3 linked regions of the Xenopus tropicalis genome follow. The protein of the gene in region 1 interacts with the protein of each later gene in a pairwise test. Links are inferred from orthologs where the notes say so. Each region holds a gene or a part of one and is shown on either strand. Other genes may lie near its edges. The genes, in order: bcl2l2, bmf and ccdc155l.

Evidence for each region.
Region 2: the proteins of bcl2l2 (region 1) and bmf interact in binary tests that used the Homo sapiens proteins (3 or more experiments, as listed by UniProt). The two-hybrid records come from large-scale screens. The link is inferred for Xenopus tropicalis from reciprocal best matches to the Homo sapiens genes BCL2L2 and BMF.
Region 3: the proteins of bcl2l2 (region 1) and ccdc155l interact in binary tests that used the Homo sapiens proteins (3 or more experiments, as listed by UniProt). The two-hybrid records come from large-scale screens. The link is inferred for Xenopus tropicalis from reciprocal best matches to the Homo sapiens genes BCL2L2 and KASH5.

Annotation. Positions count from the first base shown.
Region 1 is NC_030677.2:139,688,297-139,692,583, forward strand, and holds the start of bcl2l2 (bcl-2-like protein 2), read left to right. Parts: upstream 1-1,358; 5' UTR 1,359-1,466; intron 1,467-4,287. UniProt on the Homo sapiens protein: Promotes cell survival. Blocks dexamethasone-induced apoptosis. Mediates survival of postmitotic Sertoli cells by suppressing death-promoting activity of BAX.
Region 2 is NC_030684.2:114,269,179-114,273,456, reverse strand, and holds the start of bmf (bcl-2-modifying factor), read left to right. Parts: upstream 1-1,478; 5' UTR 1,479-1,831; intron 1,832-1,925; exon of another isoform or gene 1,926-2,025; intron 2,026-4,278. UniProt on the Homo sapiens protein: May play a role in apoptosis. Isoform 1 seems to be the main initiator.
Region 3 is NC_030683.2:112,414,335-112,417,984, reverse strand, and holds part of ccdc155l (lymphoid-restricted membrane protein), read right to left. Parts: intron 1,774-3,650; coding exon 1,714-1,773; intron 303-1,713; coding exon 235-302; intron 1-234. UniProt on the Homo sapiens protein: As a component of the LINC (LInker of Nucleoskeleton and Cytoskeleton) complex, involved in the connection between the nuclear lamina and the cytoskeleton.

The sequences.
Region 1 (4,287 bases):
TTTGACTAATAGTTAAATGTGTTTGATGAGGAGAAACATTTAAGTGTGACAAACATGCAAAAGAATAAGAAATCAGGAAGGGGGCAAATAGTTTTTCACACCACTGTATAAAACTGATAATGTCCCTAAAGGTTTGTGGAGAATAGATTAGGTGAATTATAAAGGGCACAAGTTCACATGAATGATGATTCAACATAATAAAAAGGATGTTAACATTTATATATATATATGTTTATATTATATATTTACCTATTAGAAGCAGCTTTTCAATTGGTCTTTAAAGTTTAATTTGTATGTTTTTATATCCCCCAACTGCCCTGCTTTTCATGGGAAAACCCCCATTCTGCAGTCTGTGCTTTACTGTCAGTAGTCTCGGTGCTGCCAGCCGCCCTCTCAGGGTCTCATCAGTCTTGCAAGATGAAATTGCAATGTCACTCCTCACAATATATGAAGTGCTTAACATAAAGGAATGGCCTGGAAATGAGGAATATTCTTCCAGTCTGCACAGGGCTTTTTGGGGTGGGTGTTGTGCAACACTGTGGCTGTCCTGAAATGCTACGTGCCACAACATATCATGATAGTGTAAAGGCCAGAGTGTGTCATAAAATACAGGTGCACCTAATGTACGCCAATGCATTTCATGCAGCAGTTCATTTTGTCCCTTTACATTTTTCTAATATTTCAAGTTATGTATTTTTTTTCTCAATTAATAGTTTTCATATTGTGCCTTTTAAACCCTGCAACCCAAAATCCTATCTGGTTGTCAGGGTATCTGATTCCGACAACCATATAAAAGATCAAAGGTGCGGATTTCATTTTATTGTTTTTAATCCCCAATCTTTTTAAGTCCCTGTCCTATTAATCTTCTCTGCAGATAAAAATTAAAAAAAAGAGAAAAACTGCAATTTTTAAAATGACTGCAGTCTGTTATTTAATACTGCTATCAATCATATCATAATCTAAGGGTCTGCATGTTATGCTCAGCAAATTCTCAGAAACAATTCCCACTAATAGGTCTTGGTTGCAACTTCACTGATACAGTGAGTAGAATGAGAATGCCCAGTTAAGTAACACACCTGAGGAAAGATTTAATACCCGCACTATCGCCTGTAAGTAAAATAGCACTTTCCCCAAACCAACGACCTTTATAACCAATTTCTTAATTTTAGAGTCTGGAGGTCAAGATTAGAGCACCGTTTTGGTGGTCGCCAGAACAAGCGTCCTTAGCCACACCCCTTTTACGCATCTACTCTGCACAGTACGGCAGAACCCAGACAGTTCAGTCAATGGGCAAACAGGAAGGCGTGCGTCTTTGACGTCATCGGGCGTCGCCATGACACAACCGGAAGTGGTTGCGAATTAAATCCGAAAAAAGGGGAATAACGGCGTAAAGGACCGAGATTGGGAAGAACAGCATGCGACGGGAAATATCATCTTCCGGGGGAGCCCCGATAAGTACCTGACGGGTGAGAGCCGCTTTGGTAGTAATTAGTCGCAGCTTGCTTGCCCTGCTTTTGACAGGGAAGAAAAGACCACTTATCCAGCTTGTCTCTATTTGCAGTCATGGCTGTAAAATATATGTGGTGTAGCCTTTTGCAATAAATAATTGGTGTTGGGACATGAGGAATTTGATTGGACATGGGCACGCCTATAACCTACAAACCATTGCCCAGGTAAAGAAAGGGTTAACCAAGGTGTCTTCAGTGTTCTGATCTCCAGTTGTTTCTAAACCATAACTCTTAGCAGCATCCCCAGACTGCCTGTGGGTATTTAGGATCCCTGCAGTACCACCTTTCATATAGACATTATGTTGATGCCACGCCCACCTAATGCAGACTGTGGGGCTGGTTATTCTACAGCTTCTACACTTGAATACATGCTGTTTGCTTAAAAGGGGCCAGGCAATTGACCTTCATGCTTCTGCTCCATTTCTGTCTGTATGTGTATCATTATCCTAAATGTGTGGCTCTGATATTGTACACTAATTCCTTGTATGTGTTTATTTCATTTGATACAACCCTGGATTGCACGCCCATATGTTATGTACTCCCCCCAGTAAATAAAATGTGTACACTGCTCAGTACGCAGCTCATGTTAAAAAAAAAAAAAAAAAAAAGCACCAGCTTGGGGTATTTTTCTTTTCAGCACTGTCCCTTAATCTTTATTAATTTGTAGGGCTGCCAGGAACCTTTCCCATGTGCAGTAGAGAAACATTGGTAAAGGTGACTTTTACTGTATTTCACATTCCAACAATCCCAGAGACAGCTGTAGTGGAACCCTGGGAAATGACTAAACATGGAACTGTCCTGGGGTAAAAAGCTATTGTATTTACTGGCTGGTGCTTTCCTTGAACAGAGACTTGTTTTAATCACCATACTTTTCCTTTCAGTCTCCTGGTGACACTGGTTGCCACTCCTTGCAGGGTAGGGCTGGTGATTATGTGTTTAAAGTATGCAGTGCCAGCTACTTATGTTAGAAAGAATTGTCACTGGTAAAATGCTGGATGCATGATTGTGAGCTGGCCCTGTGGTGATTGTGGGTTTCATAGAGGGTGGTTTCCATGAAAAATCTCCATCTGCCAGTTACTAAGGAAAGCCAATTTCTTTTGTACTGTTGTCATAGAGAAAACAAATGGGCAAGATATAAACAGATAACTAGCAATATTGGCTTTAGGGCTCTGGCACACGGGGAGATTAGTCACCCGCGACTAATCTCCCCGAAATGCCATCCCACCGACGAAAATGTAAATCGCCGGTGGGGTGGCATACGCGGCGGCGCGATTTCAGTGAAATGAGAGGAAAGTTCCGCAATCTCACTGAAGTCGCGCCGCCGCGTATGCCATCCCACCGGCGATTTACATTTTCGCCGGTGGGATGGCATTTCGGGGAGGTTTGTCGTGGGCGACTAATCTCCCCGTGTGCCAGAGCCCTTAGACATTTCACTGATAGTGTCACATTAAAGTGAAGGCTGATTTTTTTTTTTCCCTCTTTTTTTTTTTTTTTTTAAATGAGATGTAAGCCGGCCATACACGCACCAATATTACCATATGAAACCTTGTGAATGGCGGCTCGCCGAAACAAACAGTATCACAAAGGCTGCGGATATTGATCGTCACGCTGATTGGGCAGGTTAAAAGATTTTGATCGGGCGCCGTAGAAGGCACCCAAGCAAAATCTACATTTAGAGCTGAATCAGCAGGTGCAGGTAGAATTTCTATTATTCCCACCTCCACCTTTCTATTGTTTCCACCTGACCAGTGGTTGCATGAAAGATCATTACTGCTACGTGTATGGCCACCTGAGAGTACTGTGCAGGCCTGGATTGGGATTCAGAATAGACCCTGGCATTTTCAAGGGTTGCTGGCCTCCCACCAGCCCACTAAATAGTTACTGTCTATAGCATCTCACAGCAACCCCTCTGGTATTTGCCAGAATCCACTAATTGCTATTACAGGCCTGGTGCTGTGTGCAGTATCTTCTATTGAATCACCTCTATGTCAGGAGCCACACTGGAAAAGCTGAAGAGGAAAAATGCTGTGCTTAATATACTAACATACTAACACAAATGATATGAGGCTTCTCAGTTGCAATCTTTGAAGAAACAGTGAAGTTCCAGATAAAAACGAACCTTGCAGTACATGTTTTAAATATGTGATGGCAAACAGGAGGTTTCTTAAGTTTTTTTGTTGCTTCAAGTTTACTTGATTATTGAATTATTTAAGATTTTTATGGCACCTCCCCGTGAGCTGCTTCTTCCAATACACCTTTGTGTTTGACTCTTTGACTTCAAGAGATCTTATTCAATGCTGAAACATAGGTTTCAGGGCACATAGGGCATATTTTCTGTTGGTGGTTTCAGCCAATAGAAAATCACCTTATCATGGGTGTTAATTCTGTAATTTAGGTATTCGTTCTGTAATAATGGAATGGTTTCTGTCCAGAACCTGCTCGAATATTCTGTTTCTGAATAAAATAGACCTTTTACCTCTAGTGACAGGTAGATTCTACATAGTTAAATGCCAGGCTACAATTGGGTGCTACTCCGCCAGCAGAAAATGCTGGTGGAGTAGCATCCAATTGTAGCCTGGCATTTAACTATGTAGAATCTATCTGTAACTTTTTGCCATATACCTAATTTTATGTACTTTCTGTATATATGTACCCAGCATGGTGGGTAATAATGGCAAGTGCACGCAGTGTTCTCTCTTATTTTATATATGTAGGTTAGATCACTGTGCATGTTTCTGAAATCATCAAAGTTAAAGGTTTATATAGACTTCCTGTCAGA
Region 2 (4,278 bases), on another chromosome or scaffold:
CATTGCCAGAAATGTGGTAATACTGGCCCCAGCTGTGATAGGGTGTTTGCTGGCTCGCCCAATAAAATTCTGTCCGGGTGGCAAACCTACATCACCCATGTGAAAAAGTAATTACCCCCTTATACATAATAACTGGCCGCTCCACCGTAAGCTGCAATAATTGCAAAATGATTCATTTGATGTCAGTCTGTCACATTGTTGCTGAGTCATTTAGCCCACTCTTCTTTGTAGAACTGCTTTAATTCACACATTGGAGGCCATTTATAATGTTTGTAATTTTTTTCTACAATTCATTTTTTGGAACTAAAATTAAACAAAAGTGATTTTTCACCATGTATTATGCATCAAAACCATGAAAAGCGTGAATGCAAAAATACTCCATCTAAAGGCTGTCGCAGTCATGTAGAAGTCAGTTTGGTGCTGTCCAAGGCAATATTTATGCGGCCCTTTTACTTCGAGGTATTTGAGTTTTACATATTTTTTGGGGGGAGCTACTTGTGCTATTTAAGTTATGTAAAATTCACAATTAGGGGTTTTTGCTTTTATTTTTAAATTCATTTATGCTTTTCTCATTTATGAGTTTAGTGGTGGTAGAAAAAATCTCTAAGGGAGAGGTGTATGAGATATGTGCTTTTCTCAGCCCTGCGGATCCGCTTCATTAAAGACTTCAGTCTTAAAAACTATGGCAACTGCCCAAGTGTGGGCACACAGAGCGGAGTAGATCGAAGGTTGGCCTAAAAAATGCGAAATCGGGCATTTTCCAGGCCAACCTCCACTCCGCTGAGGTCCACAGGGGAGTGTACGGAAGAGGATCCACTTCTCTCAGCCTGGCTGAAAAACATAGGGCTAAAGGTCCCCGATACACAGGCCGATTAGCTGCCGAATCGTTCTAAAGGACATCTGTATGGTGTATTGGGGACCTTAAGAAAAGCGTATATGTTTTATGTGACCTCGCCCTTAAACTACACAAACTCTGATTTTGATAAATCTGCCTCATTAAGTCCATAAAGATGGACTTTTTCTAATAGGTTGGGAATTTTGTCATGGAAAAGGGAGGCCGCTATCAGTGAGAACTGACTAATACAACATACCTAGCCAGGCCAGGAATAGGATCCAAAATAGGTCCTGGCATTTCAAGTACACAGAGGCCCAACATCTCCCCACCAGGCCAATAACTAGTGACTGACTGTGGCATCTTACAGCAGCCCCTCTGGCATTTGCCGCCCAAAACCCACAGAGTGACGGGGGGGGGGCATCACTGGCATGCATAGTACAAATACCCAAATGCTACACAGCTACAAAGGGACTGATAAAGAGCTGAGGGGCCCCCACAAAGCTCCTATGGTGAGTAGATTATAGGCAAGCTGGAATCAGTCAGAGCTCACAGTGTTTATATTAGGAAGGGCGTGTGTACATTACAGCACATCCCCGGGCTCAGTATGGGGATACATGGTTATGGTGCAGGTAATACTGTTTGGCTTATGGCAAGTAGTTGGTAGTGAGTACAGTAAAACAAAGTTGGTAACAGAAGCCATATCACGGCCCAAAGAATGGACGCCAGGTTAACTCTTCCTGGCTTAGTGTGTTGAAGTGATTGTATTCCGAGCAGTGAATTGTATTCCGAGTGTGAATCGACCGAGAAAAGGGCAGCGGGGATACGGGACACAGGGGATGTGAAGCAATCATTGCTCCGCCTGCCAATCACAGCCGGTCCCTCCCCAGCCGCTCTCAAACACACTCACAGAGAGACTTCACGCAATGAGCTTGCCGCTACCCTGCAGGTGAGAGGACACACGGCACCCTGCCTGCCTGCCCGGATCCCCCGCCAAAAGTAAGTGATCAGCGGGGCTGTACACCTGTCTGGGGACTGCAGTGGTCTCTTCCACTGAGGCGTGCAGATGTTATGTATGGGTCTGTAGGAACGCAGCCGGGTCAAACCATTCTGCCAGCCGGGGTGCCCTGTGTGAGCGCTGGGTGCAGTGATGCAGTAAGGGGATGATGCGCTGCTGCTTATAGAGCACTTGGGTGACATTACTTTCCTGCTTACATTTTGGTTTGATTGTTATCTGTAAGGGCAGAAACTTTAGTGTAAAAAAGAATTTGCACTAGTGCTATTGAACAAGTTCATTGCTACGAACGGGCGATATCAGATTGTAGCTTAGTATTTATAGAGTTAAACCCGCCCGTGTTCCTGATGAGCTCAGCTTCCTGGCGTGTGTGAGTTGCAGTTTAACAACTGCAGAAATGGACTTACTATGCAGTTTAAAACTTATCCTAAAGTCACAAGTGACTTTTGATGGTATTTTATGGCTCATAAAGGGAGAGTAGGTACTAGCAGATTGGTGAGCTATCAGTCCTGTGGATGTTGCTGAACTACATCTTACACTTTTTTACCAGCTGGCAAAGGCTACTGCTGGATGCTAAGAGCTGTATCTCAATTAAACATCTGTAGGAGCTTTTCCTGCCTGTTGGAGAGAATACTGTGCAGGGTGTTTAGTATTTATCCTGCTGCCCAGGTTATGACTGCCCCCTGCTTTATAGAGGGGTTCACTTCAGTCCTCAGTCCTCTTCCATACTTGTCTGTTAGAGTGGGAACAAAACATATGAGTAATAAGACAACTGCCTGGAGATCTGAGAGGCTGCTGTTATGTTTGGTGCCAGGAGAGAATGACCCTGTTCCAGAAGGTTGAGTCAGGATAAGCTGGCAGCGGAGGTCAGGCGTTGGGTAGCTGCTGCCAGATGTACACGGCACATCTGTTTTTGTGTGGCGCTGATGGACACTTGAGCTCAGCAGGATCCAGCTGGGATTAAATGACTTGGAGTTTGCAGAGAGAATCCAGAGTGACAATGAAAGGAAAAGCCTTGAGGCTCTTTAGCCATTTTATAGCAGCACCTCTGCAATTAGAGACAACTGCAAGAGCCAAGCAGAGAGAAACAGTCGCACTCATCACTTTGTTTTATATCAGATATGAAAATGCTAAGATCCAGCTGAAAGCCTAGCGGTGTGTTACTTTAATTCCTCTTCCTCCACTTTCACTCCATTTGTTTGCATCCCTGCTTGTGTGCACGTGCTTGTGTATGAGTGTGTGTCGCCATCGGTTCCTTATCTGTTTATTGCAGTGATCCCCAACCAGTGGCTCATGAACAACATGTTGCTCCCCAACCCCTCGGATGTTGCTCTCAGTGCCCCCAAACCAGGTAGTTATTTTTGAATTCCTGACTTGGGGGCAAGTTTTGGTTGAATAAAAACAAGATTTCCTACCAAATAAAGCCCCTGTAAGCTGATAAGGGTGCATAGAGGCTCCCTAATAGCCAATCTTAGCCCTTATTTGGCACCTCCATGAACTTTTATGGTGCTTTTGTTGCTCTCCAAGTCTTTTTACATTTGTCTGTGGCTCACAAGTAAAAAAGGCTGGGGACCCCTGGTTTATAGCATATGAAAAGGCAACCACAATAACCCATTTCTCCTCTACAGCTGATGAAAATTCCCCCCTTTTCCTACTGGGAAGAAAGAGCCTCTTGTATTTATACAGAAACCTATACTTCTAATATCTTTCTTTTTTACCCAAGTCCAATATGTCAAAAATATAGTTATAGTAGATGATAAAAAAAAATCTCAAAAGTACTGGACCTTAATACAAGGTTGAATTTGATTTGTCTTTATTTTAACCTCAGCTACTATGTACTTAAGAACAAGAGGCCCACTAGGTAGAAACTGAATTGCGGGCACGGCCTATAAATCCTATTATCCTAAGTCTGAAACTTTTTATTGCAATAGGAAACAGTAGGCATCATGGAGCCATTCAGCTTCTGTTGCACTACAATTCCCAGAACCTTCCAATCGCCACCCCTAGGGCCACTGCTTGGCCATTGTTTCTTGTAATTGTAGTTCAGCGAAAGTACATGGCTCCTCTTGGCTGAGTGGTGCCCTTTCCGGTTACGCAATCCATTGTGTCTGGGGCTTTCTCGCGTGTGTGCCACAGTGGGATACCTCTGCTGAGACCAATTTGCACTAATGGCGGTGGCACACACATGAACTGCAGGGCTTCTTAGGTCAGATGTGGTGGAAAATATCCAGACGTGCCCAATTGTTTTTTTATTGTGTGCTTGTTCCTGCTTCACTAGGAGCCGCTGTCAGCTGCTTGTAATACCGTCAGCTTCATCGCCTGCACTGCTCTCTTTCCAAACATGACTCAGCGCTCGCACACACTTGGCCTTTGGCAGCCACTGCCTCACGTGTTGCTGTCAGGAACCTTCCCCTCTGATAAACAAACTACC
Region 3 (3,650 bases), on another chromosome or scaffold:
TAAATTCATATTAAAGCACAGAAGATTACATGGGCATTATATAACAATGTTAAAAATAGTCCAGTAAATACGGGTTGTGTTAACAATGTGTTCAGCCTAATGCTATAATTAAAACAAACCTGTAACAGATCCTGCTTTAATGGACCAGCAATAATACACTGAATGTATACAAAATAGACATTTCTAATATAATTGATATTAATTGGCTACTGGATATGTGTGGGGGCTACTTACAAGGGCATGTTTTCTTTGTTTGGCTGTAACAGCTGTTCATGTAATAGTCTCTTTTCTCTTTGAAGCACCTAGACAGCATAAGATATACAGCAAAAACCATTAATAACATCCCTTGAATGTAATCACCCCCCACACGTACAAAGCTATGCACAAAAGGTAAGTCAGCAGGATATAGGAAAAGAGTTCTTACATCTAAATATTTCAGAATACACAAATAACATTGTATTGGATCACACACAGAAGAATAAACATTACAAACACAGCATAGAACGACACTGAATTTAGCAAATTAGCCTTGCACGCATATGAATCATGAAGCAGGCAATACTTCCAACTCATCCATAGGCAAGGCATGTTATGCACCTTGTGCCTGTTGCACCTTTATTCATTTATTTTGCCTGTGCATTAATATTCTGAGACCTGGATTATATAATCCTGCACACACTGAAAATAAAGGTAAAAGTAACCTCCGTTTCTGGTTAAAAAGCTATTATCTAAAGGCAGTGAGTACCCACAAGCACCAGAAAGTGGCCCAACCTGAGATAAGGAAGATAGGGCACCTCTGTAGGACTGTGCTCTTTTAGGATCGTACAGAGGCCTGGTGCATCATCATTTCCATTATTACTGCTATATATTTGTTATAAACAACTATTTCCAGACCGGTTCTATTTTTTTACCTAATTAAGTGCTAATTAAAGTTTTTATTCTCCATCACACTTGTGCCTCATCGGTTTAATTGAAGAACATGTCTTTGCAATGGGGCAGTGGTCACAGCTGCTTAGTACTGAGAGCATCTCCATTCAGTTAGCTGCCTTCTCTGATTATAGACGCAATAGTTTACCCTTGTCTCATAGGTCAGTAGACTCAACTGTGTATTGTTTAAAGGAGAACTATAGGCTAAAAATTAATATGTGGCTAGACACAATGAATTTTCTATACTAAGCAGCAGAGAGATTCAGCAAGCCTATAACAGTAATGATGCAGACTTTTTAAATTTGCCCACAGCAGCTCCCCATCTTGGGTCAAGTTAGGCCATCTTTTATGTGTCAGTGGCACTGCCCATGCTCAGTGTGCCCTGGGCTGCTATGAAGAAGCTAAACATTGGAGTTGTCAAAAACCATTAAAAAGAAAATGAGGTTCATCTGTTATAAAAGCTGATGCTACAGAGCTGATTATTCCTGGTGCAGAGTGGTTTCTGAGTTGCCATGTAATACAAATCTGAATTAATTACTAATTAGCCTTGTACTTTTACTTTTATATTGTATATATGCAGTATATTGTCAGTCAGTCCCTAATCTCATGTAAATAATGGCAGCCCTGAGCATGTGCTGTGAATCAGGGGAATGAAGATGGGGAGCTACTGGGGGCAGATACATTTACTGGTAAAGCCTTTGGTTTCCTTGGGCTTGTAAAGAAGCCAAAACATAATGTGTAGCATTGCTAGCCTGCTACTTTGTTACCTCTCTAATATTCACCTACCTGAACCTGAAGTCTATGTTCATCTACAATGCTGCGAAGTTGCTGTGACTTAACCTTTTCCTTTAATTAAACATAAAGCAGTCAGTAATTTTTTATTGTCTTATCCAGTATCAAATTAACTATTTTGAACCCTATCCTCTATATCTATATTGTGCCTGATTTCTCCCAGTTTTACCAACTAAATACTATTATACTAAATACTATTGTACTAAACAATGCATATACCCATAGGGAAAGGATTTCTCTTGACTCTCCTTATCTAAACATTGTATTCTATATATTGTTTAGGGATGCAAAGAGTCAATATCATTAATCAAATGGATGCAAAGACCCAAAACCACCAATGAAATGGGAATGGATGAAAAGACCCAAAACCACCAATGAAATGGGAATGGATGAAAAGACCCAATACACCTATGAAATAGGAATGGATGAAAAGACCCAATACACCAATGAAATGGGAATGGATGAAAAGACCCAATACACCTATGAAATAGGAATGGGTGGAGAGACCCAATACGCCAATGAAATGAGAATGGGCGCAAAGAGTCAATACTATTAACAAAATGGACTGAAAGCAAAATGTGAGAGAATGGAAAGACCCAATGCCACCAACAAAATGGGAATGGATGGAAATAGCCAATAGCACCAACAAAATAGGAAAGAATGAAAAGTCCCAATACCCCCAATGAAATAGGGTCGGGCAGCAAGATCCAACACCACCATCAACTTTGGAATGGAAGAAAAGACCCAGTACCACCAAAGACATGGGAATAGGACCTGATACTGACACTACCAATGAAATGGATAAACTCACCTGAGGAAATAAGGAAAATGGAGGGACTGACCTCCATAAAATACATTAAACTAAATATAGGTTGGAAACTTAGGTTACCGTGGCTCTGAAGGAGCTTATAAAACAAAATATTAGATAAGTGATTCAGATAAAAGTGATACTATAGCAATAACTGTGGCAAGGGTTATATACATTACTTTTATCTGAAGATCTACTTGGCATTATTCACAATTGTATTTTTCTAGTCCTTGAATGAACACCTGTCATACTGAATTGAAAGTAACAGTGTAATGTCCTTTTATAATTGAAGTACTTGTAATTCAGTAGAATGATTATGGTTGTTCTTTAGATACCCCCCACACCCACATTTTCTCTTCTTTTCTTCATCTGACAAAGTCGATTGTTGCTGGACAAAGCATGGGCACAGCCAATAGCCAGGGTTTTGACTTTGTACTAGTAATACAGACATGATATTATAGCTTACAAAGCAAACAGGTATATGGTAACTGTGCATGCTAATTACAATTAGCATGCACAGTGATCCAAGCAATCCCTAGGGGACCTCTGCAGTTATTTCTATGATCTCTCCTAGCCTAAGACAGCATTGAAGATCTACTCCACCCAAATTAGTATTGACTGCATCAATATCATTTATACCCATCATCTCTAAATCCTAAATTCCATATCATATACCATATCACTGCATGGATGGATGATTCAGCAAGACATGATCCGATTACTCAGGATGAAAAAAAACCCATGTTCCAGCCCATATCAGCCCCTAAGGTGTATTTACCACTCAGTCATTTAGGGACAAACTTCTGAAATAGCAGATTTCAGGGTAATAGAAGCAATCCAAGCCCTGCGCCAGTATATTTTTTCTGAAGATTTGGTGACATCTGGTGGAAGTATAATAAAATGCACATCTACACAAGAGAACAAAACTACATTGAAAAATAAAAAAACTTACCTTAATCGTTTATCACACATTGTTGGATCAATGCACAGATAAAGCCCTAGGGGATTTCCAAACGTCCCCTATCAATATCTGGCTGATTTCTAGCCAGATAGTGACAGTTCAGAACCTGCCTAGGGCACCATACATCGACAGATAATCTGCCAACTTGGCCTGGCTGGCTGC